Linked DNA regions of Arabidopsis thaliana. The protein of the gene in region 1 interacts with the protein of each later gene in a pairwise test. Each region holds a gene or a part of one and is shown on either strand. Other genes may lie near its edges. The genes, in order: AT1G14950 and AT5G57860.

Region 1 (15,308 bases):
CCCTACTTTGAAACTCTTGGAGGAGAGTTTGAGAAGGTTCGAGGCCTAGCTACCAACATCTGGGAGAGGACTTATCTACCTTATTCCTTGGCCCCAAAAAATATATGGACCAAAAATCTAAAACTACCAAAATACTACAAAAAAAGAGAGAAGGTAAAGTAGAGACCGCATGTGATATTCCATGATCTGATGGAGCCGTGGGAGTCCCAGTCACCGTCATGCATAGTGCAACCTTGGATGTGGTGGCCGACGGCATCCTGGAAGACGTGGTTTTCGTTCCTCCACTTCTTGTAGTGTTTCTCCGCCGATCCCTTAAGCGGTACCTCCGCCACGTATGTTCCAGACATTGCCATTTCTCGATTGATTGTTTTCTTTTGAAATGTGTCAAGTGTTTTGTTTGATGCAAATACTCAAGTGTCGCACTTCCTTTATATACACGAAACTCACCACAACACTACAAATAGCAAAACGGCTATATATATATATGTATATGTAACATTATACATAATTGTCTCCTTCAAATATAGGGTTTAATTCTTTTAATTAGAGCTAAAAAAAATCATTTGTTCACCATCTACTAGATCCTGAGTATGAATGCTTAGTTTTACTCCAGAAATAAAATTGTGCACCCATATATAGTTTCTTTCTGAACGACCGGTTTTTGAGCTAGATTGTTGACTATTTTAACTCTAGTTCTAGATCTAATTTGTTTTAACTGTAGTTTCTAGATTGAATTTTATAAACTCCAAAATCAAAATTAAAAAGTAAAGCTAATATTTGAAAAACAAACACCTTAATAGAAAGTTGAACTATTACTCTGATTCTAACAACAAAAATCCCAAACCAAACATAGACTAACAACCTATTATACGAACACGCCATTGTCTCTTAAAGCATATTAGGTTTTAGTCTCCGACCAATTCAAGTTAGTTTTTCCTTACCATAACTCAAACGTTCAATATATGTATAAGAGGAAATATTTAATCTATAAACTACAAATTGAATTATCTAAAATATCCAATCGCTTGGAAATATCGTTAAATCTAGTACAACCTCCATATCATTTTAAGTGATGACATGTGAAGATAGTTTGTAAAAGCTGGATTAAGTTTCGACTCGGTTAGAATGTCATTATTCATATATAGTCAGAGACTCATAGGTATTAGGTAACCGATTATTGACTGGATGATTAATCATTTCATTGGATAAATACCGACTGAGAAAGAGAATAAACCTAGGCATAAGAGGTTTTGCGTAATTTGCAGATCAACGACATCATAGTGATATTGGTGCTCCACACGTGTGGACTAAGTGTCTTCATGTCCATCTATTCCTCCTTATAGATTCTTTGCACCCATACGTTTTTTTCTTCGGATTTAGTACTTTCTTATCACACATGCATATCTTAATTTCCGTTTCTTTTAAGTTATAGACTTCTAAATTCAAAAGACTTGAACCTACATACAGAAAAATTACTATGGTTTAATTACTACAAATCTATCTTCTCTTATTCATTGAATATTTATTTGATTGTGGTTATTTTTACTGAAAAAATAAATTGTACAGAGCATAATTAGAGTAGAAGAAGCTGAGAAGTGATTACAAAAATCAAGACTAATGTGATAATATATGATAGACAAAAATCAGTAATGCATCATTTGCAAGCGCTACATGGATCATATTGTTGCACGAAGACCTATTTGGAATAATGATGCAACTTCGTTGAGATAAAAAGCTATAATTATAAATTAATTTAAAAAATAACTATAATTATACCACCTTCATGGTGTTGCTTGCAAGTCCAACCATTAAACAAACTTTTTTTAGCTAAAGAAATCTGATAAGATGTCAAATTAAGATGATTATTTAATAACATTCTTATTCTTTTATTGTTTTATGTAGTTTTAATACGTAAATTATTTTAACTAGAAGTATGTTTTTGTTATAGGATTTACATGACTTTTAATCAGTATAAGAGCATACATGTGGTTTGGTTTGTTTGTTTCTATAGTTAATGCAAAAGATTTGTAAGTTTTATTTTGTATGTCTGCTTTTGTTGATTCATTAATGGATATTTTGGATTCTGCAGGTTAGTCAAGTTGTTACCTCGTACAAATTTCTTTAATACTTTTTCTCTTTCTTTATGAAATTAATTATGTGATATACAGTGAGACTATACATCCTAATATTGTGCTCTTTATATATTACGAACACCAATACTACACCATAACAACATCAAATCATCAAAGACAGAGATGATACATGCATAAGTTTACAAGACGTACCGCCATTATTATCAGCATAAAATGTACACAAGACAAGGAGGCGGTTTCATCATGTACAAGACAAACACAAACGACACACACACATATATATTAGGATGTTTCTTTATTTATTTTTATCTTCATAAGTATGGTCACTATGATGATTAAGCCTTGCTCTGGTTCTTGAGAATGTGGTCATCCATGTCAGCAGCCAAGCTCGTGACGAACTTCATGTACTTGATGGGCTCTGGAGAGTCTTCGTAGCGCTTCTCCCAAAACATAGTGACTTTGCAGACGCAACCTTCCTGAGACTTAGGGACGAATTGGAAGATGACGTCATACACCTTAAGCTGCTCCATCACATGACCATCCAGCCCTCTAAACGTCACCGCCATCTTCTGGTCGTCTAACTCCCTCTTCTCCTTGAACACCTCTTGCTTCCCATCTTCATATATTTACATGAACCTTTCATTAATAGAAACCCTAGCTAGTAATAAACACATATTCATACAAATAGAGAATGAGATAGAGGACCGCATGTGTAGTTCCAGGACTTGATGGCCCCGTGGGAGTCCCAGTCGCCCTCGTGAACGGTGACACCTTGGATATGATGGCCAATGGCGTCAGGGAAGAGTTGGTTTTCGCTCTTCCACCTCTTGTAGTGGTTCTTCGCTGACCCTTTCAGAGGAACTTCTGTCACGTATGTACCTGACGTCGCCATGATGAAGCTTCTAAAATACTTTTGATTACTTGTTTTTGAAAGTGTTTATGCAAATGCCAATTGTTTATTTTCTATGGAGGTGTACAAAAACTAAAGCATCCCCCTTCGCTTATATACACAAACTCGTCACAACATTACAAGAAACCAGATATATATGTATGACTTTTTCAAGAATTAAACATATATAAAATCAAAATCAGATTTTACTTAAAATATATGTGCTGTAGAGTTTGGATTAAATCTTGTTTGTCTTTTTTGTATACAGATGTAACGTTACCACTAAAAAATGTGACGTTCGAATTTATAATAAAAATGACCAACAAATATTTTGCATGCCATCCATTGTGCTGAAAACTATCAAATTATTATATATGGTCGGAACAAATTTTTGGGATTTGCTGGCCGGTTGAATTGGAATGGTTAGTGTTCCTCACGTTAATCAGATTTACAATTTACAAACACTTAGGGAAAACAGTTGGAAATAAACCAACTATTTGGGAACATACTTATCTATTTGTTAAAAATGTTGTACAAAGCAGAAAAATATTACAATATTTGCGATAAAAGCTTAACCCATGAGGGAATGCAGTTACAAAAAGTGGAGATATATGTATCACAGATTGATAATTAGATAAACAGCGAGTAAAGGGGAAAAAAAAGACCTGAGCGAAAGAGACGGACAAAAAAAAGAAGTAGGTGAAACTTCGACCGTTTTGGGTTATTTAATGCTACTCAACGTCATAGTGATACTGGTAGTCCACACGTGTGGTCTATGTGTCATCATCTCTATTCCCACTCTTCGCTTTAGGTTATTTGCCATACTTTGTGTTATCTAACTATTGATCTTAGAATTAGGGTTATTAACTTATTTGAAAATATTAAAATCTCTTATGTTACTGTGTACCACTGCACCGGCCTTTTTGTAATACTTTTGGATTATCTCGCTTGACCTAGATCCCCAACTATTTCCGGATAAGTTTGGGCTCATACCAGATTGTACAAGTACGTATTAAATAAACGAACATCATGGTGACTAAAAAGAAAGACAAAAAAAAAACGAACAACAATACTTTTATAAATAAACGTTGGACATACAACACCATGATGATATTAATATCATGTACGAGATGGACACACATTAATTAAGATAAATAAAAGGAGGATGTGATGATGATTAAGCATCGATCCATCATTCCTGGTTTTGGAGGATGTGGTCGTCCATGTGAGCAATCATCTGTTCCACGAACTTCATGAATTCGATGGGCTCTGGGGAGTCTTCGGTGCGTTTCTCCCAGACCATAGTAATTTTGCAGACGCAGCCATCTTTGGACTCGGGGATGAAATGTAACGTCGTGACATAAACCTTGAGGACCTCCATGACGTGACCATCGAGTCCATTGATCGTCACCGCCATATTCTCGTCGTCCATCTCTATCCTCTCCTTCAATACTTCCTCTTTCCCATCTTCACCACACACGCAAACACCACAAGATTGTATACTAATCAACATACACATTTATATCTAACCATAACCAAACCCTACTTTTCCATGTTAAAACAAATAACTTGTAAGGGAAACTCATGAATATCACATATAGCTAGGTGTACCCTTTAAGTCATTTGTATCATTATATAAAGAGAAAAAGAGTATAAATACGAACCACGAGTGTAGTTCCAGATTTTGATGGTGCCGTGAGAGTCCCAATCGCCGTCATGGACGGTGACACCTTGGATGAGGTGGCCGATAGCTTCAGGGACGAGGTGGTTCTCGCTCCTCCACCTCTTATAGTGTTTCTCCGCCGATCCCTTAAGAGGCACATCCGTCACGTATGTTCCCGACATCGCCATTGATGAATCAATTAGCTTTGGATTGTTTTTTGTGTGTGTGTGCGCGCGCGCGCTTTGACTTTTGAGTGCTTTTATTCCTGTTTTCTGATGCAAATACTATGATCTCTCCCTTCCTTTATATAGACAAGCTCAACACCAAGCTACGTTAACAAGGAAACTATTACCAAAATTTTTATACGGCTTTTAAATTGTTGACGGTTCATATATTATAAACAATTATAGTCACGTATTGATATATATATATATGCTATATGATCATGTGTTCAGTTAGCTAAATTAATCAGTTAATATGTTGATTGTTATAATTTTCATCCTTAGAAATTCGTTATAGAATTTTTTTTACTAGTACCCTTTAGATGGAAAAATTTACACCCTTAGAAATGATTAGCTAATATTCTAATATTAATGCAATCATTTCACACCATATATCAAATTGTGGATTATTCAACATGCTTAGAAAAATAATTGCGTATATTCTTGTCTCTCACAATATCACTAAATTTGTATTTTTAATGAACCGCGAATACTAGTTATACAATATAAAAACAGATGCCAGCCATTTGCTGACTCACACAAATTTTTCAAAAAGATTAGTCAATTGAGTAATGTCGTATATCAATCGAAAAAGAGATTTTAGAAAAAAAAGTAAGTTGAGAATGTTAAAAATCATTCAATATAATATATATATATATATATATATATATGTCATATTTAGATTAAATAGGACTCAATCATTACATTATAAGTCAACATCATAATTAGTTTTAAAGTTGAAATAACCATATATACTAAGACCAGAAATATATGTTCAAAGTTAAATATTTGAAATAATTAAACTAAGTCCTTCTTTCAAGTTAAACTAAGATCAATAATAGAGGGGTATCTCGATACTGAATTATTGATGATCTCATGTAAGATCTTTTGACATTGAATTCGGAAATTAATAATGGCACATGCATTCGGATGATATAACTTTTTTAAGTAAACATTGAAATAATAAACAACTTCAAACGTTCAGATGTAAAAAACAATAAAAATAAAAAAAAAACAAAAAAACAATACAAAGGCCCAATTGTTAAAGGCAAAGGCCCAAGCTCATCATAAAACAGGTAACACTAAACCGGGTTTTTTTCAGAACCCCGAAATAGTTGTGGTTAAGGCTTAACCACACTATAAGTCTATAACCACCATCGACGGCGAGGTTAATGACCACTTACGTAAGCAGACTAGCAGAGTCACGAAGATGTATACTCATTCAAATGTGAGCATGATGGCAGTGACACAAAAGTAGCGAGAGATACTAAACAAGGATTGATTAGCATTTAGTCCCCCTCCTTCCCTAATAAGATATGGTTCAGAACAAAAGCATGCAAAAGCGTCAAGGTGCACAATAAAGAGTCTCAATTGCGTACCAATCATATTCCAATTCATAGCCCTTCTTCAATAGAACTTATAGAGCTATGTAATCTGGCATGCCAACTGTGGAATAAGCATGTAGGTTCATGTGTTAATCAAGCGCATACAAAGCGAGAGTGGCCATTTTTAACAAGACGAATATTATTCAAGATCTTATTACTAAACATGGTTCTAGCTTCTAGGCCTTGTTTTCGTAGGAAACTAAAATGACAGACAGTAAAAAACATTGGACTCACCACATTCACTTGGAAGAACCATAAGAAAGATAATATTTAAAATGAAATGTAAACAAGATTAAACCAAAAAGGAACCAATCAATGTACAAATTTTTTTGGCAGCTCTCTTCTCCCCTATGATCTACATTTATTTATGGGCAAACCCAACACTAGACCACCAACTATACAAAACTCAAAAAACTTTTCAAACTGCAAAACACAAATGAACATCCAAATGCTATCCTCTCCGCCCAGAAACAAACGTGGGAACTAATCTCAGTTTCTCGTGTTAGATACATCAGCTTCAATGTGTTAAAAAATCTCCCCCAAGAAGAATGCTTGGGAAGTCCTCTCTGTCTCGCTCTCGCTCTGTTTGGATGCGGATGTGGCCAAAGAATTGAAAGAATTAGCAACACATGTAAATAAAAGAATGCACAAGAAGAATCCAGTAAAAGAATGTGTCAGGTGGCTGATGCTGTTGTTTTGTTCTTCCGGCACATACAATCAGGACAAGGGAATATGTAAATGGAGTCACTTGATCGTTTCAGCTCAAACCCCTTGGAGTCACTATGGGACCTCATACTTAGCATTTGCCGTTTAAAACTTTTCCATCTGCCGTAATATCAGAAACAACCATTGAGGGATCAACCAGATATTATTAACCAAAAAAGCATGTTTGTAGGTGGAAGAGGTTAGAGTTCTTACCCCAACTTGGGATTGTCAAAGAGTACGGCTAACTTTCGCTTGTCTGGCTGAATCGTCTTTGAATGTCCTCCAAACAAATACCTCCGATGCCCCATGAGGAAATGAGGGAAGTTTCCACCTTGTGTTGTCACAAATACCTCACTGTGGAGACACACCGTGTAATCTATTGCAGCCATTCTCGAGGAGAAGTTCTAAACACAGACACATAAGTTTACAAGTCAGAAAGGACTCATCCTGGATGAACAAACAGTGGAAAATCGTAGAAACCTTAAAAGGAGCCAGGTCTTCCTCAGAAGCAAGCATCTCCTTTGTCTGTAGATTAGGGAACATCTCGAGTAGTGGGGCCATAGTTCTATTTGCGCTATATATCGGGCCAGCGGCAAGGAATATATATGTACTTTTGTTGAAGCCCATTCCTCTAAGCATCAAACCGACCTGATAGGTTTACAAGAACGAAAATTGAACCAATATCAGCAAGTTAATCTACTCACATGCTCAAGGGTTTGCACAACTACTCTGATTATTCCACAGCAGTGTCCATGGATAAATAATATACAACAATATTCTCGTAACACTAATACTTAATATAGACCACAATCGTGGATAAGTAGAGTAATGTCCAGGTTCTAAAGTATTTATGCTTACCTCTAAAGGAGTTAAAGGGCATTTCCCATTGAGCCTGTTAGCTCCTGGTCGTATCACACGGCCCGGTTTTGTGAACTTCCCTTTCCATCCTCGTTCTCTAGCGGCAATCATGTCTTGTTTTTCTTGGTCTCCACCATCAAATACACAACAAGAGAACGCAACCATATCCTGCAACATGTTCTTATAGTGTATTATATCTCTCACCTTAGATACAGATCTGTTTTCAGAATAATCAGCCATGATAAAGGGACAAGTGAAAGATTCCTGATGCGTTTCTTCTTTACAGGTTACAAACCTCTTCAAAACGAAGATGCACAGAAACGTATTTCCCGGCGTTGTTTGCACTAAGACCCTTCATTTTGTTCACCAATGTTTCTCCTTGGGTCAGTATGGGTTTTGAAAATCGCAAGGCTACATTATTCGCCAAACATCTAAATCTCTGGACAGCTCGAGGAGCATCAAACGAAAGTCTATTTGCAAATGGGGAAATTCTTATAACCCTGTGCCGTCAAAAGACAACAAACAATTCAAAATCAGTGTAGTATAACAGAATAAAGAGCCCCTTACACAAAAACAAGACAGCTTATTATGGAAACTAAAGTTTATTAGTTAGCAAAAGAGGTGTGACTCACTTTTCTTCAAGCAGCTTTGGCAGGACTGAGTCCCGGTAATAGGAGGTGGGTGCCCATGCTTTAACTCTGAAGTTGTAGACATTTGTCAAGTTATAGTCAAAACGCTCCATCAAGTATTCAGGAACTGTATCGACCACCCGCACATCATTTGCTAAGGTATCGATAAAGTACTCTTCATCATAGATGTCCCCAAATTTACTGCAAGGAAAACCTTTTTTCAGAAAGTAGTTGAAACAGGGATGGCTTTGCTTAAATTTATAACACCAGGAGAAGATAAGAAAACAAATATCCGAAACCTCGGATCTTTCCATATGCTGTGATAGTGAAAGTTGGGAATTACAAGGGTCGCATTAAGGTAGCCTGCCACAGCAACCGCATTGCATATCTAAGTAAAACATGGAATAGACAAGTCAACAGCTTCACCTTTGACAAGTTTGCCAGACAATAGCAAGAAAGGCTTGTGTGAAAAAAATCAATTTGATGTAAGATGATTAACCTACCGAAGTCCGCTGCTGATTCAAGCCTCCATTTGCCTCAATAAATATGAAACCATTTGACACAGGTAAAACTACAATTGTTAACACAAACAACAACAAGAAAGCCTAATTGATTCAACTTATTACTTAGGACAAAGAACACTAACGAAGAAACTAGGAGAACAATGTAAAATACCTCCAGTAGACATGTTCACACATGGCTTCCATTCTACACCTTTATAGGAACGCTTCCAAATTGTTGATATCTTAAATGAATACAATTGCATTGACGATACATGACAAATGGGAACAAGAAAAGAACAGAGATCAATCTATGTTCAACATTGTTATACGTTCTCCTAGATATTATACTCTAATTGGATCAATCTATGTTCGACAATGGCCACATTCTCAAAACGATATCACAAGCGGGATAAAACGGAGGCAAACCTCACCGCATCAGCCGTGGTATTATCGGCTTCAATCTCGCCGCGAAGCCTAGCGTAAACCTGAGGGCTCCGGTAGACGGATCCCGGAGCAGGACGGCGGTGGATAATGGGAGAGGCATCAAACGACGCCGCGTGTAGGTGAAAAAGCATACAGGAGATGTAGATGATAGGAGCGAAAAGGAGAATTCCCTGACGCCGGAGAAGAACAGATAAAATGATCCATGAGAGACGGTGAGCGACGTTCCGACTTTGCTGTTGCCCGGAGACAGAGGAGGATTTCGACCGGCTCCGGCAGAGATGAGGAGATGTTGGCGGAGAAGGAGTAGTGTGATCGCTTCCCGGAAGCCGATTTTGAATCGACAGATCTCTCTCCACCTGGGAAATCATTGTTTCCCTGCTCTCTCTCTCTCTTCTCAATGCGCTACGCCATTAACGATATAATGCATTGCTTGTAACAATGGCAGGTGGCAAACGCCGATTGAACGGATTTATCCCGGCGGCGAAACTGTGAGTGAAGTAAGCAAAAGAGAGAGAAATTTTATTTATGTTATGTATGTATGCGCTCGTGCGGTGGAAGCATGATCGATTAATCACATGTACTTGAGTATTTATTTGGCTTTTCTTATGTGTTATAGTTCTTTAGTCTTTTTCTTTCTTCAATTCTTTGATTTCAGTTTCTATGGAAAACTATTGTTAAACGTGAGAATTCAATGCATCGGTTTCTACGTATGGTCTAATTTGTATTGGCAGAGAGACTTGTCCAAAAATAGCAATGAGTTTCATACACATTTTTCAGTTTTTGGTTAGAAAGATGAAATATTTTCAATCAACCAACCTATACTAAATTTGAAGGTGCGACAAGACAATATACTACAGTTGTCTTATCATCCAAACGAGTGGGTTAAACAACTGAAAATCCAAAATTAGTAGTTTTCCAACCATTGTGAAAAGGAAATCAAAAGACACAACTTTCAGAATGCATAGACATGGACCTACTTCTCGACCTGATTCAGTTGTCAATATGTGAAGAAGGAGATGCTATATAAAAAAAGCCATGCGGCCAAATGAGCTTATTTCTTTTGTTATAGCATGATCATGAATAAGCAAAGTCAACTAAGCTATCGTCTACATTGGCTATTGAAGTTGCTGCCTAAACGTAAACGAAAAGCATCCACAGATTACGGAAAAGCACAAAATGAGAAGATGCAACACTTGGGTTATCCATGTGATTGATGCCCATTTGTAAAAATTCAAAGACAGGTTCATAAAGGTAGATTCAATGATAAACGACAACAAAGTCCAACCACATCTTCAAGATAAACTAATTTATAAATGACTTCTCCTCATAACACAAACACCAACATGAACCCTCGTGGTTAAGTTGGCAAGCTTAGCCTTTTCAATCCTCGTGCAAAGTTCCCAAAACATCCTCGTCCCGGAAGAGATGGTACCTGCGTCCATCACACAAACACAAAAGTTACTCACTTTGAGTCAAATTCTTCTTCATTTGTAATTTCTTATTCGTTTCTAAAATCAACCCACCAATCAATATGTAAATCTGGTGTTCAAATTGGCATTATTAAACATTGATCAAAATGTTTTTAAATCCTCTGTTACAAAATTTTCAATATCTTCACAGTCTTACAAGTAATTCCCTTAGTTCCATCCATTAATCTAATTAATGGATAATGATTCCTGAACATGATTAGCTAAACATAAAGGTTCAATTAGATCAGATCAGAATTTTATCAGAATATTAGGGCAATAATAAGAAAGAAGCGGGTTTAACTTACTCGTTCTCGCCGAGCTTGACCTGTGTACCACCGTACTCTGGAAGAAGAACAGTGTCGCCTTCCTTCACAGAGACCGGAATCAATTTCCCGTCCTTATCCCTTGATCCAGGTCCAACAGCTATCACCTTGCCTGAGTTCAGCTGCAATCACCCAAAAATATGTTTATTTTTCAGATCTAAGAGGCGAAAATCAGAAGAATCAAATCGTGAAATCAAAGCTCTTTTACCTTGGAGGATTTCTCAGGTAGGAGAATGCCGCTTTCGGTTTTAGCGGGCTGGATGACTCTCTGCACCAAGATGCGGTTGAACGTTGGGATCAGACGCTTCATCATTTCTCAATTCTTCTTCTCTCTCAGTTGATGAATCGGAATTTTCTAGGGTTTCTGAGTTTTTAATTTGGGGCAGAGACACATAAGACGGAAGGTTCTAGATCGTAGGGTTTAGCGCGACAGAAAAAGGCCAAGGGTTTTGGGATTGTTTGGGCCTATAATATCATACTATTTCTTTAATGGGCCTCACTCATTAAAAAAAACCAGTCGCATTTGTGTTTGTCTAAATAAATTCTTGGAAGTGTTGTATGACCTTGCAGCTCAAATGGTTAGTTCCTTCCATGATTCTCTTTGCCAAGTTTTTCAAACTCCATGTACAATCCCATTTCATATACCACATCCAGAATGAGATGTTTATTTTCGGCAGATTTTTCGTGGAATGAAATCTTGACCTTTCTTTTATCAAACGTCTCTGCTGATGATGGAAAGCTTCTTGCTCTGTCAGTTTTCCCCATTTCTTTCAAGGTGGTAACCAAAGTTTTTCCCCGGATTGTTGCTTTGCTATGCTATATGTTTATTACATTGTGCCTCTGCGGGAATTACATGCTCTTAATTTTCAGAGTACAAATCTGAATAATCCATGTAAGCCAATGGTACGGTTCCGGACTTATACAAACACCATACAAATGTTCCAAGATACCAGGATTCGAATTTGCTATAACAAGATTAGGCACAAAGCTGAAACAAAGAGAGCTGGCGCCACTAGCCACTTCCATCGAGTTGGCCTTGAGATAGAAGGTGAGCCATGTATTGCTGCATTCACAATAAAATGAGCTCAATTCTTGGTTCTAACCCCACATGATTCGACAAACATTTCTATCAATGGCACCACAAAGTCAGTACCATCAAGATTCTAGACTTATGGAAACTGACCTTTACAACACTAAAATATCCGCACCACAGAGATTATCATAAAGAGATTGAAGAAACTTACGGAGTGGTAAACGTATGGAGATTTTCCCTGGCGATCAAAATGCTTAGCCATTATGCAGAATTCAACAGGACCCCAATCTTCAGATTCATAGCAATTCCCAAGCGCCGCTTTGTACAGCTTTACTCCAATAAACCCCAATCATCAGTTCCACACAGAACTAATCAACTATATAAACTGTAAACGACAACTCAAAATTGTCATCAAGGACAAACCTTAGCTGTGTCGGTCAAAAGTTCGGTGCCAGCAGGGTAAGATGCATAAAACTGATCTCCCCTGGAATATCCTGCTCTTGTTCTACACAACATTCGAATCAGTAACATTAAATCAAATTAAACCTGAAGCAGAAACCAAGAGAAGAACCCAGAAATTGAAATCATCTGCGAATTCCGATATTGAAAAGAAAGAACAACCAAAAGAAGCAAACTGAGATCGGACGAAAGACATTACGTGTTGTTTGTATAGAAGAATGTGAGGGCAGCAGTGAAGCAGTAGAATCCGGCGTAAGAGACAGCCCGTCGTAGCTTCTGGATCTTTATAACCTCTGAGCAAACATCCAAGATCATCATCTTCACACCTTCGGAAACTCTTTCAGGTATTATATCGAACACCTTGTGATCACTTTACCAAACAGAGATGACGAGTAGAAGAAGCATCTCACGAAATTTGCAATTGACAAATTGTAAACGCTTTGTATTGTCCAACTTTTTATGGGCCTATCTGACCTTTTTCTCTTTTCGGCCCAATAAAACTTTTAGATTTTATTTCTTTTGGCAACAATAAATTTAAAATAATATACATTATGGAAAATCATCTACAAACAAAAACCTTTAAATTAAAAAACTCACATGTTAATGCAATTAGGTTAGTAAGCAAGCACGTCTTGACAAAAATGTTATTGTTACACATTTAAAAATTCACATGTTATACAAGACAAAACATAAACGTAATGTTTTGCAGTCAAATAATGAAATAAATGAAATAATACAAAGGGATCTTTATGTAAAGGCGTCACCAATTAGTGGAAATAATGGAGCAAGCCACTACACTCTTCATATTGCTTTCCACTCTCCTCCTCGCCGTCTCCGTTGAGTCTCCTCAGCCACCGCTATTTCCCGATGAAGCTCTCCCCACTAAATCTGGCTACCTCCCGGTTAAACCCGCACCCGGCTCGTCCATGTTCTATGCCTTCTACGAAGCCCAAGAGCCAACCACACCTCTTCCTGACACTCCGCTCCTCGTTTGGCTCCAAGGTGGGCCAGGCTGCTCTTCAATGATTGGCAACTTTTACGAGCTCGGTCCCTGGCGTGTAGTTTCACGCGCCACAGACCTCGAGCGCAACCCCGGCGCATGGAACCGTCTATTCGGACTACTTTTTGTGGATAACCCAATAGGAGTCGGATTCAGCATCGCAGCCTCACAACAAGACATACCCACAAATCAGAGACAGGTCGCTGAGCATCTTTACGCCGCTCTCGTGGAGTTCCTTGAACAAAACCCAAGCTTCGAAAACCGACCGGTTTACTTCACTGGAGAGAGCTACGCCGGGAAGTACGTTCCAGCCATTGGATACTATATCCTTAAAGAGAAACCCAATGGGAAAGTGAATCTAAAGGGGCTAGCCATTGGAAACGGGCTGACCGACCCGGTGACCCAGGTTCAAACCCATGCGGTCAACGTCTACTACTCGGGTCTGGTCAACGCAAAACAGAGAGTTGAACTGCAAAAAGCGCAGGAGATATCTGTAGCTCTCGTGAAGTCCCAGAAATGGCGTGAAGCAGCAGACGCGAGGACCGAACTGTTGACGCTACTAAGTAACATGACAGGACTCGCGACGCTCTACAACACGGCACGGGCGATTCCATACAGAACAGACCTCGTGGTGGACCTCTTGAACCAGAGAGAAGCAAAACGTGTTTTGGGAGTGAGTGAAACGGTTCGTTTTGAGGAATGTAGTGATGAAGTAGAAGATGTGTTGCGGGCAGACGTGATGAAGAGCGTAAAGTTCATGGTGGAGTACGCATTGGAGAGGACTCAAGTCTTGCTGTATCAAGGTATGCTTGATCTAAGAGACGGCGTCGTTTCGACGGAGGAGTGGATGAAGACTATGAACTGGTCAGGATTGGGAATGTTCTCGACGGCGGAGAGGCGTGTGTGGAAGGATGAAGACGGTGTGGTCGCTGGTTATGTTCAGAGATGGGGGAATTTGTGCCACGTGGCGGTTACAGGAGCTGGTCATTTTGTTCCGACAGATAAAGCTGTGAATTCAAGGGATATGATTGAAGGTTGGGTTTTGGGGAAAGGATTGTTCGGTGGTAAAGATGTGAAGCAGACAACTTCGTCGAGCTTATACCATTCAATCTAAATATTGTGTACTTGTACTTAGTTCTGTAAGATTCAATTCAGATTCTAATTGTACTCTGGATTTAGATTTGTTACGTCATGTTCACAAGTTCATTTTAGTACGAATTGGTAACTTTTGCTACTTAGTTTATCATTTGCCTGTTCCTGAAGTCTTAAACTTTCTCAAAAAAGTTAGCATACAGTATACACTTAAGGATTGATTCAGATAAACTGTTTTGGTAAGAATAAGGAGATTTGAAGCATAAACTAAAGAATTTTTAAAAACATGTAATGGCGATTGGAGGCGGGATTGTGAATGAGATTCAAAGTGATTTGAGTATAAAAAATACACAAAACACAGAGAAAGCACAAAGAAACCCGTACTATGAAGCCATTTTGGTATTAGGGAAAGAAGAGCAAGGGCACCCCGTAGAAAACCTACAGGTATTTCAGAGCTATTTATCAAAATCTCTCCCCTGTTTTTTGCCTCTTTCCCGATTCAATTTTCTCGGAAAAACATTCGCGGAAAACAGAAAGAAAAC
Region 2 (16,214 bases), on another chromosome or scaffold:
AAACCAAAACCAGTCCTAAGAGAAGAGTTCCTTTGTTTGATCTAAATCAGATATCTGTAAGCACATTTTTCACTCTTAATCAGATTGTGAAGAGACTTAGAAACCAAACATGTCTTTACTCATAAATTGATTTATATAGGGAGAAGAAGAGCAAGAAACAGAGGCAGTGGACAATAATCAAGAGAACACGAGAGTTGAAGAAAGTAATTCATGTAAGAGATTAATGATCAGTAGCATTGAGATGCAGCAGAAAGATGTGAAGCCATCTTCTTGCAGGAATGGCGGAAACGGATCAAATAAGAGGAAAATTTCATGGCAAGATCCTGTCGCAGCTCTCAGAGTCTAAAATAAGAAGACGGAACCTTTTGTTCCTCCTCATAGATCTTGTTGTAACATAGCTTCACATCAAAGTTAGCTTGCTTATTTACTTATCTTGATTGAACAACATATCCAATTGTGACTTGAAAACTTAAAAACCTTATCCAATGGTGGCTTATTGCAAACGTGACATTTCTATACCGAAACATGTGTCAGCAAACGACATTTATGGAAGTGATCCAAAAGTCAAGGAACAAAATTAACGGTCAGATGCATTGACACGTGTCTAAAGAGACACGTTTCGTGTAACTTTAAACTACATTATTACCGAACACAAAGAACCGATCTTTGAAAACAAAACAAGAATCTTTATGGAAGAAGACGGGTCTGATTGGGGCGGATTGGCTCCAGAGATACTCATCAACATCATTTCAAGGCTTACGATTCAGGAGCTATGGACCGGTCCGATGTTCGTCCAAAAATCGTGGCTAACTGTTTGCAGAGATCCGTATCTCTGGTCTATCTTCGATCTGGAGCCATGGTTCGATTCCTATCCCGAGTCGACTCACTTGTGGTCCCCTGAGTTCGAGCAGAAGGTAGACTTAATGCTACGATCAGTCGTTGATTGGAGCGAAGGTGGTCTCACTAAGATCCGCGTCCGCCATTGCAGCGACCACGCTCTCTCTTACGCAGCCGATAGGTAAATATCTTTCTTATCAAGATCGTGATTGAGTTTGTGATATCCTCTATTTTGGAATTTTCTATGGCTACGAGTCTGATTTTGGACATATCAATAGATGCCCGAATCTACAGGTTCTTGCCATTAGAAGCAGTCCTAACGTGACAGACGCATCGATGACGAAGATAGCGTTTCGGTGCAGGAGTTTAAAGGAACTTGATATCAGTTACTGTCACGAGATATCTCACGACACTCTTGTGATGATTGGTAGAAACTGTCCTAATCTGAGGATCTTGAAACGTAATCTTATGGATTGGTCTTCTCGGCACATTGGCTCTGTTCCTACAGAATACTTAGACGCTTGTCCTCAAGACGGAGACACAGAAGCTGACGCGATTGGGAAACATATGATCAATCTAGAGCATTTGGAGATTCAGTTCTCTAGATTATCTGTCAAGGGTCTTGCTTCGATATGTGAGGGTTGTCCCAAGCTAGAGTACTTGGACTTGTTTGGGTGTGTGCATTTGTCAAGCCGTGACATTACAAGCAACGTGTCAAGGCTTAAATGGCTTAAGGAGGTAAAGAAGCCAGATGTGTATGTGCCAAGGTCAGGGGATGTGGCGCAGACGGAGAGGTATGGACATTGGAGACTCTATGACGAGAGATTTGACATACAAGCCATGAGAATCTGATTTCTACACACACACTGCCATGTTTTATAATAAAGCTGCCCATAGTTCTGACTTGGGTCGGTTGTTTGTTATATGTCGTGTTGTTAAAATGGACCTTAGGCCCACGGGTCTAAACGGGCTATTTGTAATGTTTGAACGGGTACCCATTTAAACCCGATTACTAACGGGTCTAAACAAATATTAACCGAGTGGCCCATTTATTTTTAAGTTTTTGGAATTTTCTATGCTAAAACGACAACGTTACGAGTTCTTCAGTTTCTCAGTTCTCCAAACGACAACTTCGAGCCAAAACAATGGCGGCTACTACATTGTACAATTCCTGTCTTCTTCAACCGAAGTATGGCTTCACCACTCGCCGCCTAAACCAGTCTCTCGTTAACTCTCTTACGAACCCAACAAGTAAGTCTTCTCTGGAAGCGTTATTCGAATCAAAAGTTTCGATTTTTATCTGTGTTTTTTGTTTCCTCTGTGATAGGAGTTTCGGTTTTGTGGAAGAGTCGTAGAGATGTTATTGCGAAAGCTTCGATTGAAATGGCGGAATCGAATTCGATATCTTCCGTTGTTGTCAATTCCTCTGGTCCTATCATCGTGATTGATAATTACGACAGCTTCACTTACAATCTCTGCCAGGTTTCATTTCGAACACAATCTCCTATCATCACTACCTCTGTGAATGTTTTTGAATCTTTTTTGGTGTAAAAGCAGCTGCATTTGCATTTTTATTAGAAATGTATTCAGGTATGTGCATTGTGATTGATTGTTAGAATCTCATTGTTTCACAATCCAATCTAGTTTCTACATGCTAATAGATATTAGACTACCTAGTGTAGATTCTCTCTTGTTAATGTGATCAGAGTCGTTATGTCGAAATACTCTACTTCTCTGGAGAATTGTGTTTTTGTTTTATTTGGAAAAGCTCCTCGTTGCTTGTTTGCCCTTGTAACGAGTAATTGTTAGATCCAGCAAAACCTAATACATTACTTCTTTTCTGCCTAAAGACTGGTCTTTTAAGTAGAATCTTTATTCGCGTTCAAAGTTTGAATTGGTGATTTTGTGAGTTGCTATGTTTGACTTTAGATTGGTTATTCGTAGTTGAAATATATCACTTTATCATGAAATTTTGGCTGCTCTGAATATCCCACATAGATCCCAAATTTACAATTTGATCATGTCTTACTTCTAGTTCTCTATGTAAGCCTATGAGGTGCATACTATTAATTTCTCTTGATGTGGTTTCTTCTGCTTCAGTATAAACAAAATTTTGAATTGTATATATTTTCTACAGTATATGGGAGAGCTAGGGTGCCATTTTGAAGTTTACCGCAATGATGAACTTACAGTTGAGGAGCTGAAAAGGTAAGAGGAAAATACATTCTGTGTAAAACGTAATATGGCTAATCGATTGGTGTTGATTCCTTTATTATGCAGAAAAAAGCCAAGAGGATTGTTGATTTCTCCTGGACCTGGTAAATAGTTTGGCCTCTGATTATGTGGTGTGTCTTTTTGAAGTGCTCGAGAAGAATTTAACACTTCTCTTGAATTTGATAGGTACCCCTCAAGACTCTGGGATTTCCTTGCAAACTGTTTTGGAACTCGGACCACTTGTTCCTTTATTTGGAGTATGTATGGGTTTGCAGTGTATAGGAGAAGCATTTGGAGGTTAGTTGCATATAAAGAAGACATGGTTTTATTCTTTATGTTATGTATCGACAACTTAAATGCAATTTTGTTTGAACATTGATTAGGAAAGATTGTGCGGTCACCATTTGGTGTTATGCATGGGAAAAGCTCAATGGTTCACTATGATGAGAAAGGAGAAGAAGGCTTGTTCTCTGGATTATCCAAGTACGAATCAGGTTTTTCTGTGTTGTATAATATAGTTAATCATAAGTCTGTAAGAATGTGTAATGAAACAAATCTTGTTGGTCTGTTGGTTTCAGCCCTTTCCTTGTAGGTAGATATCACAGTCTCGTGATCGAAAAAGATTCATTTCCTAGTGATGAACTCGAGGTTACAGCATGGACAGAAGATGGTCTGGTTATGGCTGCCCGTCACAGAAAGTACAAGCATATACAGGTAAAACCCACTCAAGTGTTTAATGTAGCTTCTTGCCTCCTCCATTCAAAACAGAGCTCTTGAAGTCTTGTAAAAAAAAATTCACAGGGAGTTCAATTTCATCCGGAGAGTATTATAACAACCGAAGGCAAGACAATTGTTCGCAATTTCATCAAACTCGTAGAGAAAAAGGAATCTGAGAAGCTGGCATAGGCTTAGCCTGAATGAGAAAATCAGCTGTGTTCGATTAGTGCTTCCCTGTAATAATGTCTGCCAATGCAAAATGTTCCTTGGCATCTTACCATTGTTTCTACCCGGAATGTGTCTAGTTCTTTCAGTTCAGGACGAATCTGGAAAGGCTCGATAGTATTCAGTGCTGTTGGAACATAACAGTACATGAGATAAGATCTAATCAGATCTCACTTTCTTATTGTCATACTGGCTTTCCTTGGTCTAATTCACGGTTGTGGTATATATAGTCATCTTGCAAGTGAACAAGTGACTAGAACAACTTGATACGGCACATTGGCTCTGTTCCTACAGAGTACTTAGAAAACACATGATCAATATAGCAGCTGTTCAAAAGGAATTTTCTTTGGTTTATTGAAAACGACAACATGATAAGCTCACAATTTTCAAGCATTAAATTTGTACAAATACATGCTTATGTAGAACTCAACTTACATAAACGCATTACAAAGACGTGTTACTATGTACTACACAATTCTTGTAAGGAGAGTAGAAAAAGAAAACTACTTTTGATAGTAGATGGAACCTAGAAAAGAAGAGAACTGCAAGAACTAGAGGTGGCAAGGCAAGCAGTCATATGGAAGGAGCCTGACAAAAGTGTAATGGAAGCAGATGTGGGGCGATGTCCTCTGAATCTTCTTGCCCTTCTCCTTATGAAGACTCCAAGCTTCCTTGTCACACCAGCTTCGTGATCGACATGACCTGAACACAAAAGAAGGGACTGAGACAAGACCAGGAGTAAGATGATCGATAGGATGAGTAAGCCTTTGATGTCACGCATCTTTGCTATAAGATAAGGTTTTCGTCCTATGGCTTGCTTTTATAAAAGAAGACGTGAGAGTAGTTGAAGAAGATATTATTTCTGCAGGACATATTTAATAACAATTTGGTGGGTTGTTGATTGAGAAACGAGAGATAAACATATAATGCCATGTGGACCCAAGATTATAATATGACAAAACCATCATCATCCAAAGGTTCAAAGGTCAGAGCCGACATCGACCTAAGTCTTTACAGTTCTCACATTTTCTGCAGTGATATGATTAACAAATCAACTAGTGGTACCTTTAAGTCACTTGCTTTCCACACACCATCTTTTTATCAATTAGGAGTAAAAAAGGGTTCCCAATGAAAAGAAAGTTCTACAGAGTAGATGCTAACCTGGAAAGATATCATTCTATTTCTTGGTAGGCTAAGATTTTGTCCAAAATGGCTGGCTCCACCTCCCGGAAAGATGTGATCTGACCAACTCGTTTAGCTAATTCCCCAGTGACTCGGTCCATGTAAAGGAGATACAACCCATTTCTTTCTTCCAAGGCCTTTACTGCTTTCCTCGCATGTACTACTGATGCTATCCACTCCTCAAACATAACTGCATAGAATAAAATACAACCAATCTCAGCAATTTTTGTGATTCTTTTTGTCGCCTATGATTGTAATTCTGTATATAGCTAAGGTAGGAAACGACTATTATTCTAGAAAACGAGCTTAAGAAAAGAAAAAATGATGTCAAAAATAAAGAGAAAAAAAAAGAAATTTAAAACTCTATCAGAGCCAGGTTTCGATCCTGGGACCTGTGGGTTATGGGCCCACCACGCTTCCGCTGCGCCACTCTGATTTTTTGTTAATATATTATACATGATACCTTTAGTTATTACCATTGTCAAATGCTTCATTCGCCCATGGCAACAAATAGTCACATATAAGGAACTCAATTAGCTGTATCCTGCATGTTCATTAGACAACGTAATCAAGCTTAGCATCCCCAAGTATTATAGAAACACATTATCTCATTTGAATCTGAAATACTTACAGTATAAACATGCACTCATCCATCTCTGGGAATGATTCATCAAATGGATCCATAAATAGTAAATTTTCGGCTAAAATGGATATCCTCTGAGAAATAGCAAAGATTGCACGCTGTCCAATGAATGGTTCACTTCCAAGTTTACGGATCAAATGTTGGACATAAAACCCAACACTTGTTTCTAGTTGTTTCACCTCTAAAACAGATGGTGAAGGAAAACAAATCGTAGAAAAATGATAATTAGGAAGGAAAACACAGTTAGAATCATTATTAAACTGTTGAAGTTACCATTTCCTTTGACGGGAGTGCACATTCTTGTGATCAACTGTGTAATCATGAAGCTGATAGATTCTTCAACAGATTCTAAGTTCCTTCCCATCGATATTAACTTCTTCAGTGAAGCTTGAGTATGCCAAACAGAGCATTAATTCATAAGTGCAAACCAGGTTTATATTAAAGGAAATGCAGCTCAGGACTTAAATAATTTGTTTGCAACTCGGGAACTTTGAATAATATTACCGAATATGAAATCTACAGCCTGATGTGACCAATTGCTGAAGTTAGAGTCCTGCAGAATATAAGAAGCAAGTTCAGAGTTGCAAAGCATTTAAGAGTGCGTGCATATTACCAGAAAAAAACTTAAGCAACAAAGCCTAACATTGGAGTCTGCTTCAGACAGTTCCAGGAGAAAATCTATAGAGATCCTAAGATGTTCTGCTTCCTCTTCATAATCCGGTTCTGCAGTCAAAGTTTCAACTCAAATAAAAAAGAGTCCCAGAATATGAAATGATGGTGCTTGGTTACATAGACTCTGTTTTCCACTTCTCTCTCCCATATAGCACATTACGTCATATTATGATATGTTCTTGTATTGCTTTAAGGAAATTGAAACTCTGAGATAATAGACGCTAAACCAGGAAAAGGAAGACCCTAAACAAACCTGAGGGCTGCAATCTTTGAGATGATCGAGTTAACTTCCTTCTGCTCCTTCTCCGCGCTAAGGATAAAATGACAACACAAGCTGATAAGTTAAGCCCACAAACACAAAGGTAACAAAGAGAATACAAAATGTTCAAGCTACCAGACTGATGAACCTAAGAATAGGAAAAGAGACCTAGTCTGAGAAATCTACGACGAAGAACATCATTAAATCTCGATTCAGAGGCTTCTCCAATCCTCCTACCGCTGAATACTCCCAAGTTATCAAAGAAATAACACTTGCAAGAAGCATTCGCTGGGAATAAGTCACGATGAAAAGAACCTATAATTGACACAAAATGCATTAATAGAAAGACCAATCAGTTCTAGAAACATCTTGCAGCCTTTCCATTTTAAGAATCAATAAATACAGAAACGAATTTTTGCAAAAGTTAAGAGAGGCAGAAAAAAATACTTTCAGCATCCTTGAGATCTTCCTGGAGTCTGATAATCTCTTTCTTCCTCTCTTTAGCCTAATTTCAAAATCGAAAATCTCACTATGTTAGAACCTCCGTCTCGCAACAATTAGAGCTGACCTAGATTTCTAAACGAAGAACAGAAATCGAAATGTAGCCTAGAATTCGTAGATTTCACCAGATATATATATCAGATAGTTCGCAACGAGAAGGCCATTAAAACCAAATGCAAAAAAAAATAAAAAAAAATCGAGAAGTTTCACCTTCTGCTTCCAGCGAAGTGCATCAGATTCAGAAGAAACATAACAACGGGAAGTAGAAGAAGAAGATTGATGATTCTGAAACTTAGATCGTAGCAGAGAAACAGCGATTGCCAGTCTCAGCGACTCTTCCTTCTCTGTGTGATTTGCTTCAGCTACGCTTGAACTCATTTTTGTTTAAAATTGAAAAAAAAAAAAAAAAGTATTTTAGTTTTCAGGATAATAACTAATGATTCTCTGTCCTGCGCGGGAGAGTTTTTGTGACGCTTTACAAAGCCCACTCAGGCCCATTGATCAAACTTGATAAAGCTTAAGGTCGAATGAATCATTTACTCAACTAATGTTAGCTCAGAATCAGATAGGAATAATAGGAAGACGATGATCAAACATTTCCAATGTAATTATCTGAACCGACCAGTTTATAGGGGTCTCAAGTCTCAACAACAATCAACTGAATATAATAACTGAGACCGTAAAACAAAAATGCAAAGGTCAAAAAAAGACAAGTCACAGAAGAATACAAAAAAGGACATGGACTCATGCCCACAAAGAAGAGTGGTGAGAATAATGTCATAAGAAAAAGCTTCAACGAAGAGCAAAACTATTTTTGAGTTCTGAGAATCCTTTTCTCCTCCTCCTTCAAGCTTACAACACAACATTCATCGCACAAGCATAAGACCCAGAGAGAGCAAAATCGTCAAGTAATGATTCCTTTTACAGATTCCGACAAGCCTCTATGTCTGCAGCCTGTGAGGCCAACAAGGACTTCCCCTGCTCGCTTGACTCCACAATGCGTACAGCTGCATCGACCACCATCTTCTGGAACCTATCGTCTTCCATCTTCCCTATAATTTCTCTAACCAATTTGAAATCCACACCACCAGCCAGAATCAGCTTTCCCACAATCTCACCAAAATTGTTTGGTGCCTTAGGAAGATCAATTCCAATGTCGTCCAACATAGCACCGTAGAGCAAGAACCCAGTTTCAAGATCCTTGGGTGCGACTACCTTCTTTGATAACAAATACTCCAAGAGTGTAGCAATTGGCTCAACGACAGGCGGGCTTTTCTCAAGAGACAGGGATATTGCTTCCTTCACAAACTCTGGGTGATATGACGGCAAACCAAGCTCCTCTACACACTGCAGAGCTTCACCAAGTAGTCGGACATTGAAATATTCCTCGAGAAGCGACTTTGTTTTTCTTTGGAGCACTTCTTCGCTCAACTTGGGACCACTAGGCTGTGGTTTCTCCACCGGAACTGGTACGGTCAGAGGTGCAACTGACTGTGCTGGCCGTTCTGCTGACACGGTAACTGGACGCGACACTGAACCACTTCCCTGCAACAGTGCGCTTGTCTTGCCACTCATAATGCCACTGCTGCCTTGAGGTAAGAGCCTCGTGTTCATTGAGGCCGACTTGCTCACTGCTGGAGAATGTAGAGGTCCTGGCCCATCGCGTCTAGACATTGATCTTGTCCGGGGTACCTCCCAGTTATCATTGTCCACTCCGGGCATCCCAGGCATCCTTCGCGTCCCAGGCATACCAGGCATCAAGCCACCCGCACCAGGTCGCCCACCAGGGTAGACAGGGCCAGGGCTCACAGGCCCACCACTAGAAACCATACCCCTTCTCATATTTGCAGTGGCACCTGGTCGGAGACCAAGATTCTTCTCTGCCTCAGTATGTATTTCGGTTATAGTTCTTGCTTTCATCTGCACGAGTAATGTAAATAGAACATTAGAATCACTACACAATGGAGCAGGAAACAAGTCTCAACCTTGTAAAACCTAGAATACCTCTTCCCGCCTTGGAACCCAGCCATTGGAGCGCATGTCGATGATATTCTGAACCATGAATCTCAGACGCAGTTCCAACTGAGGATTCTTTGACAGAGCCTGTAGGCGTTTGAAATATACATCATTAATCCGTTTTGACTTCACGTTTCCGTCAAGTTGTTTGCCAATAGTTTTGAAGAAATGACAAATAGCTTCGACATTTTCCTCGGCTGGACAAACTTTCTCATCGGCCCCCAGAAGCTCCTGTGCACAGAACAAATTAAGAAAGGTTAATGCTAGATACCAAAATAAAAGAAGTCTAAGAAAATGTGTAAGCTTATAGGTGTTAACCTGAACAATGTGATGAACAATCTTTTCTGGGACCATCTTCTGCTTCAAAAGCTCACCAATCAAACGAATATTTCCTAGAGTCTTGAGCTTCAACAATTTTTCTTTGTCATTCCGCTCAGCCTCCTGATCTGGAGCACTCATCTGTCTAAGCTCCTCCCTCAACTGAGAAGCGCCCTCAAATGCCTCTTGACAGATATTCAGTAGAACCCTCTTAAATGTAATCTCCTTATCCCCAGGCTCTGCAGGTGGGAAGGTGGGCAGCTGGTCGTTGATATCAGAGCACAATTTTGCATACATAGGGCAAAAGGTCGGCTCAAGGACAGCTTTGTCAAAAATAAGGGTAATCACACCCTACAAATGAAAGAAAAGAACACGGGTTAGCCACACAAACAGCCTAGATGATTCAAACAAGACTTCATCTATGCTTGAGACATAGCATACACCTTCAGGATATCAGCAGATGTGATGCCAGATTCAATAAGTTGGCCCTTGAGAAGGTCATACTTTTCAGGGGTTAGCTTGTTCAGTATCCTGGACAAGAAAAGTATATCTTTGTAAGTGTGCATAGTCTATTTTAAAGATTTCATGTTGGCAGTAAAGGAAAGTTATACAAAAGTCTAGACAACTAATAACTGTCACAACGGCATTACCCTTTCACAGTCTTCAGAACACGATCATTTTCAGAAAGGTTTCCTCTTCTAGCTGACCAAGGAACTTCGGCTTTGACGAGGACAGGAGCTGGTCCACCCTGGTTCCACACGATATACAAATAAGTAAGAAAAATAAGAAATCATGCCAGAATGTAAAGGGCTAAGAAGAGGGAAAAACATTCATCTATTGATCAATTACCCCTTGGTTGGATGATATGTTTGCCCTTGAAAACTGGGAATTAGGTTGGTCTTGACGATTATATTGACTTGCTTCAACATACCTGGAATCTTTAGCTTCACGAAGATTATCCCACGACCTTTCCTCCCCAGAGGGTGGAGGTTGAGTAGAACGGCTACGCCAATCACGAGAGTCTGGCTCAGAGAAGCGACTTGCGGATTGAACGGGAACCTGAACCATTAAAATAAAAGATATGTGTTAAAAGTGAAACTTCATGAAACTATACCAAAATGCAAAATTTATGTTTCAACAAAACTATACCAAATTGCTTACGACACTTTCTCCACGTGCCCAAGTCCCTTCCTCACCAAACAGTTCAGCTGCAGTTTCCCGTTGGACTCTCAGAATTTCATCAGAGAGTTGAGTGGTCTGTATATATGCACAGACGTCAATGACCTCAACTAAGGAAGAACAAATACGAACAGCAGAAACTAAACCGGCTTTAATCCTATATTATTTAACTGGGATAATCACCTCTTTAAGCTCCAGGAGCTGCTCACGGGTGTACTTCACACGTTCACGGCCATCGAACCTCGAGTCTCCACCCTGAAACAAAAGCACAACCCAGGATAAATCTTCATTAACTAACACCCAATACACAAAATCATATAAGAAATAACGTATAAAGGAGACAAGGAACCACGAGTACTCAGTACAAAAGAAAGAGAGGAATAATTCTTTAACCATAAGGCCGAAATGAGTGATGAACTAAAGAAAAACTAGAAGAAATGTCAGTAGGTCCTTTATGAGCAAATAGCAGCTAACAAAATGCCCACCTAAAAGCCTACATATCATTATACGTCCATATTTACAGCAGAAACACATACTTGCGTGCGCCACTAAGAATCAGGACAAACAAACTGCTTGCATTACTCGTATTGACATATAAACCTATGAAGTTCAATTATGTATGTTGCAGACACCTATCAAAATCCAACATGAGCTCAGTAGTTATTACAAACACAAAGCATTAAAACTCGCAAATCAGAAAGATATTAGCCAATTCAGACATTTGAGAGAATCAAATCAGCAATATACCAAAGATTATAATTCCAAACAAAAAGGCTGCTGATTGCGACAAACCCGTAAAAAAGGATAAATTTTTAGCTCAAGCTAAGACAAGAGAGATAAAACAAATTCTAAATCAGAGGAAGAAGAGGGAGTTAGATCCAAATTTAGAGAGGGGACCCAGAAATGAGGGTACCTTGAAGGGAAAAGAGGAAGCAGGAGCACCACCATGAGGACGAAGGAGAGGTAGATCCGAAGATGAAAGAGAGCCAAAAGAGAGAGACGAAGAAGAAGAAGAGGAACCAAATAGTCTGTTTCCTCGACCGCCACCAGGTCTCAAGCTCAGAACCGTTTGATCGCCTTGCTGCATACCTCGATCTAATCCGCCTTAAGATCGAATCGAATCTCACAACAAAAATCGAAGAGAAAGGTAGAAGCTTTATCAGCGACGATGAATCGCTGACTCCGATAATCCAAGGAGAGGAGGGATCGGATTTCTGGGTCTCTCTCTCTCCTGCCGTTAGCGAAGAAGAGAAGAGAAGAGAAAAGTTGAGATTGAGAAATGAGAAGAAGAAGAAGAAGTCGAGAAGGAGACACAATCCCTTCTCTTTATTAGGGTTTTTTTCCTCTCTTTTTCCCGAACCAGACACACTTATAGCCTTAACGTTTTTTTCCGTTAAGATTACAGTTATGTCCTTTCATTTTGTTTTTTTGTCTCTTTATTTTGTCACCCTCATTGGGTTTTCCGTCAATGAACAATGTCAAATGGTAATAATGGAGCTTCCTCGGCTCGTGTTAGCTGCACCTCTAGCTCATTGTAAACATATTAAGAGACTGTAAAAACTACTAATCTGGCAAGTTGCAATCAAACTTCCACATCTCAATATCTTTACTTACAACAATTGTCTGTAACAAACTAAAGAGGCGTTAACACAAGCAGAGACGCAAAAGAAACAACTTCTGGCGTTTATAGACTCCTCCTTGTGTTTTGAATCAATACCTTCTCCTGAAGTTTCCTTGATACAGTAAGCAACTCTTCATGAAAGTGAGAAGTCGGTGGGCTGTGCAATGTTGACATCCTCAAACTCGTTATCATCTGCACATGGAAAAAAGAGATGCAATGCAATCATTATGCCGTTCATAGCTGTATAGATTCAGAATGCAATACAGCATCCTCAACAGTTGTGTAATCGAAACAAGGCTAAAAGAATAATAAGATTAGGAATCACATTCAGCTATATCACGGTCACAAAAGTTAGGCAAGACTCTTAAACATACCAAAAGATTATCCAGTGATAACAAAATAACTAAGATTCACAATAACAGGCTCAATTGAAGTCAATGGAGTTTGAAGGGTTCATATACCAAATAACATATAGAAAGATGAAGTGTGATAAGTAATTAACCAAGATGCATGATCCATTACGACATTTCAACAAGGAATTGAAAATTTCAGAATAAGAGGATCTAAGGTATAACCTTTCTTCAAAGTCAAAGCCACAACTGCATCATTCTCAACCTGAACAACCAAAAAAGAAGATGGTGACAAGCTTATAACTTTCAAATACACGCAAACGGAGGCAGTGGCTATGTGACCAAGTTCTTCTTTTAAACTTGAGCAATGACTCAAAAGATAAATATATTAGATAGTCAAACGTGTGATACCTTCTGATCTGCTAAGGATTTCGAATCCTCTAATACTTCTTCGGTAGACATTAAGACCAGACGCTGATTGTTAACTGGTTGCTCAATGAGAGCAAACAGTTTTTGCTTAACATCCAAAACAGTCTCTGTTGGATCACATTGGATAAAGTAAGTAGTTTTCATGCGCTTCACACGAATATACATAGCCTGCAAACAATATTACACAAGACTAATCAATACTACAACCAATATGGCCAAAATCTAACTTGTTCGATTGATTAAAGCAAAATTATTGCAAGACAAAAGTATCTCAACTTTTATTACTCCAAGAAGAACAGTAATAAATGTGATCAGGAAGCTGGAATTAAGAAGGGAAAAGATGTTCTCATTCCAAAAACATCTCTACTTCCCGTCAAATAAGCAAAGGATTGAATATACTAAGAACAATCAAACCCATCAAAGTGAACAAAAGAAGTAGAATGTTTACCATGGCAAGATAAGGATGAACAATTCACTCTTCTTCCGCTGCCGATTCACAAGACTTTAGAATCAAAATCTGTTCTAAGATGCCAATAAAAGATTAATCAGACTATCAGTGACAATTGACACACCTCAAAGAGTCAATTTAACTAAAGAGATGATCTAGTTATCCCCCAAATCTTTTCTTCTTTTGATATTCAAAAGAAAAGAAAAAAAAGCAAAGATTTTCAAAAATTACTGACTCAAATAACAAACAATGAAATCGACTTACCTAGATGGGTTAAGGACGAAAAAGTGACCACAAGAATGGATTAAGGATGAAATACTGGCAAAGAAATCAAAGTTGGCTTTTTTATAACTCGAGCTCAGAGCCCTACAAGGTAAGGAAGGAAGAAGAAAAATACCACTTTGGTGGCTTGTTTGGCTACAGATATAATACTAACATCGATTAGGCGTCGTACAAAACCCACTAAAAGACAGAGAGGGTTTGTTTTGTTTTAGGCTTTTATTTTTGATTGATTGAATATTAAAATACAATGCGAAAAGTCATATTGGGCTTATGGGCCGAATAACTTTATTTTATTTTTGTGGTGAAGTTAGGCCCAAATATTTTTTCGTCTTCTTCCAGTTCACGACTGAGATAATAATAATGCAAAGCAAGTTGCTATTTCCGAATGATCTCTCTCTCTCTATTCTTTTGAGTCCCAAACCCCATGGCAGGTTTGTCGCTGGAGTTTACAGTTAACACTTGGAATCTCAGGTCTCTCTCTCAAGTTCCATGTCCTTTAAGACATGGCTTTCGATTCCCGCGTCGGTTGACACGAAGAAGAACGATTCTCATGTGTTCTGGTTCGACATTTCTACCTTGTGTTCTCTCTTTTCTGATTTTTCTTCTGGATTGTGATTGGTGATGCATTTATTATAATCTTTTTAGGGTAATGTACACTTATTACCCTAAAAAAGAGATCAATTTGTTGATCGTTAAATTCCATAAGTGTTCTGGAATTGATGACAAAAATCTGCATTCGTTTCTCCACAGATTCAAGCTCTCAGTCGTGGAATGTTCCTGTTTTATCTAGCTATGAGGTAATTATGGTTTCTCTTTTATGTCTGTACTTATCAATCATATCTTTAACTCTTGAAACTGTTCACAATTTGTTAGCTAGAGATGTTTATTGACACAACCACCAGACATTTCTGTGTTTTGTCAATGAAATTATAGATGCAGCCCGTAATGAAGGATTGCGACATTTGTTTGTTATCCGTTTATGTTTAGAGGCGTTGATTGATTGAGTATCAGTGAAGTATGTTTGGTTTAAAAGGTTGGTGAGAGGCTAAAACTAGCAAGAGGAGGACAACAGTTCTTGGCCATGTACTCAAGTGTTGTTGATGGAATTACAACCGATCCAGCAGCGATGGTTCTTCCATTGGATGATCACATGGTTCACCGTGGTCATGGAGTCTTTGACACTGCCCTGATCATCAATGGGTTAGTCACTTTAAATAGTAGCCCCCTTTTCTAATTTGTCTTATTACTCAATCATCTGAGCTTCGCTTGTTGTCCTACGAATAAGCAGATACCTTTATGAATTGGATCAGCACCTTGACCGTATCTTGCGATCTGCATCAATGGCTAAGATCCCACTTCCATTCGATCGAGAAACTATTAAAAGAATTCTCATTCAAACCGTGAGCGTTTCTGGATGTAGAGATGGATCTCTAAGATACTGGCTCTCTGCAGGGCCAGGGGATTTCCTCCTATCTCCATCTCAATGTCTCAAACCAACTCTCTATGCCATTGTTATAAAAACGAACTTCGCCATTAACCCAATAGGTGTCAAGGTAGTGACCTCGTCCATCCCCATAAAGCCTCCAGAGTTTGCCACGGTGAAAAGTGTTAACTACCTCCCTAACGTACTCTCACAAATGGAAGCTGAGGCCAAAGGAGCTTATGCAGGTATTTGGGTGTGTAAAGATGGGTTTATTGCAGAAGGCCCGAACATGAATGTGGCGTTTGTTGTTAATGGTGGTAAGGAGCTTGTGATGCCGCGGTTTGATAACGTTTTGAGCGGATGTACAGCAAAGAGAACACTTACACTCGCTGAACAGCTTGTAAGCAAGGGGATTCTTAAAACTGTGAAAGTAATGGATGTGACAGTCGAAGATGGAAAGAAAGCAGATGAGATGATGCTTATTGGTAGTGGAATTCCGATCAGACCTGTGATTCAATGGGATGAAGAATTTATTGGTGAAGGTAAGTAAGATTATCATATAAACATTTTAAAAGCCTCACTTTTAATTACTTACATGATGGATAGATTGGCTGATTAAAGATGGGTTTCTTTCTGTCTGACTCAGGAAAAGAAGGTCCTATAGCAAAGGCGCTTCTTGATCTGTTACTTGAAGATATGAGATCTGGTCCACCTTCCGTTCGTGTTCTTGTTCCTTACTGAGCCAATCACTCTCTTTGTTCATCAAAGACAATAAGCTGTGGCTTTTTTGTAAAGCTTTGCTGTTATTGTAAGTTGAGTTTATCATGGGGTTTTTAGGTATCTGTCTTTGTAAAGATTTCTCTTTATCACTTTTGAATTATGATTGTACCCATTCTCA

The links.
Region 2: the proteins of AT1G14950 (region 1) and AT5G57860 interact in a two-hybrid assay, tested with the Arabidopsis thaliana proteins (one large-scale study listed by BioGRID).

The regions. Positions count from the first base shown.
Region 1 is NC_003070.9:5,155,160-5,170,467, forward strand, and holds AT1G14950 (Polyketide cyclase/dehydrase and lipid transport superfamily protein), read right to left. Parts: upstream 3,111-15,308; 5' UTR 2,986-3,110; coding exon 2,799-2,985; intron 2,710-2,798; coding exon 2,429-2,709; 3' UTR 2,177-2,428; downstream 1-2,176. Other genes in the region: AT1G14940 (Polyketide cyclase/dehydrase and lipid transport superfamily protein), read right to left, coding at 167-353; AT1G14960 (Polyketide cyclase/dehydrase and lipid transport superfamily protein), read right to left, coding at 4,175-4,449, 4,647-4,833; AT1G14970 (O-fucosyltransferase family protein), read right to left, coding at 6,926-7,076, 7,170-7,360, 7,437-7,604, 7,815-7,982, 8,110-8,314, 8,447-8,644, 8,743-8,831, 8,947-9,014 and 2 more; CPN10 (chaperonin 10), read right to left, coding at 10,771-10,822, 11,165-11,304, 11,391-11,495; AT1G14990 (uncharacterized protein), read right to left, coding at 12,195-12,245, 12,336-12,365, 12,427-12,543, 12,639-12,720, 12,874-12,992; scpl50 (serine carboxypeptidase-like 50), read left to right, coding at 13,454-14,788.
Region 2 is NC_003076.8:23,435,391-23,451,604, reverse strand, and holds AT5G57860 (Ubiquitin-like superfamily protein), read right to left. Parts: upstream 14,052-16,214; 5' UTR 13,876-14,051; intron 13,686-13,875; exon of another isoform or gene 13,650-13,685; 5' UTR 13,615-13,649; coding exon 13,612-13,614; intron 13,332-13,611; coding exon 13,146-13,331; coding exon of another isoform or gene 13,131-13,145; exon of another isoform or gene 13,000-13,130; coding exon 12,960-12,999; intron 12,577-12,959; coding exon 12,518-12,576; 3' UTR 12,202-12,517; downstream 1-12,201. Other genes in the region: AT5G57910 (ribosomal RNA small subunit methyltransferase G), read left to right, coding at 1-56, 140-346; SKIP1 (SKP1 interacting partner 1), read left to right, coding at 690-1,018, 1,116-1,689; AT5G57890 (Glutamine amidotransferase type 1 family protein), read left to right, coding at 1,983-2,088, 2,165-2,319, 2,975-3,045, 3,118-3,155, 3,238-3,348, 3,435-3,534, 3,630-3,765, 3,853-3,957; AT5G57887 (uncharacterized protein), read right to left, coding at 4,520-4,774; MPS1 (multipolar spindle 1), read right to left, coding at 5,166-5,365, 5,652-5,719, 5,807-5,999, 6,092-6,205, 6,323-6,371, 6,462-6,541, 6,744-6,800, 6,918-7,064 and 2 more; eIFiso4G1 (MIF4G domain-containing protein / MA3 domain-containing protein), read right to left, coding at 8,172-9,170, 9,255-9,497, 9,585-9,935, 10,028-10,115, 10,235-10,332, 10,434-10,643, 10,734-10,841, 10,947-11,018 and 1 more; ADCL (D-aminoacid aminotransferase-like PLP-dependent enzymes superfamily protein), read left to right, coding at 14,318-14,453, 14,644-14,690, 14,927-15,093, 15,182-15,858, 15,963-16,057.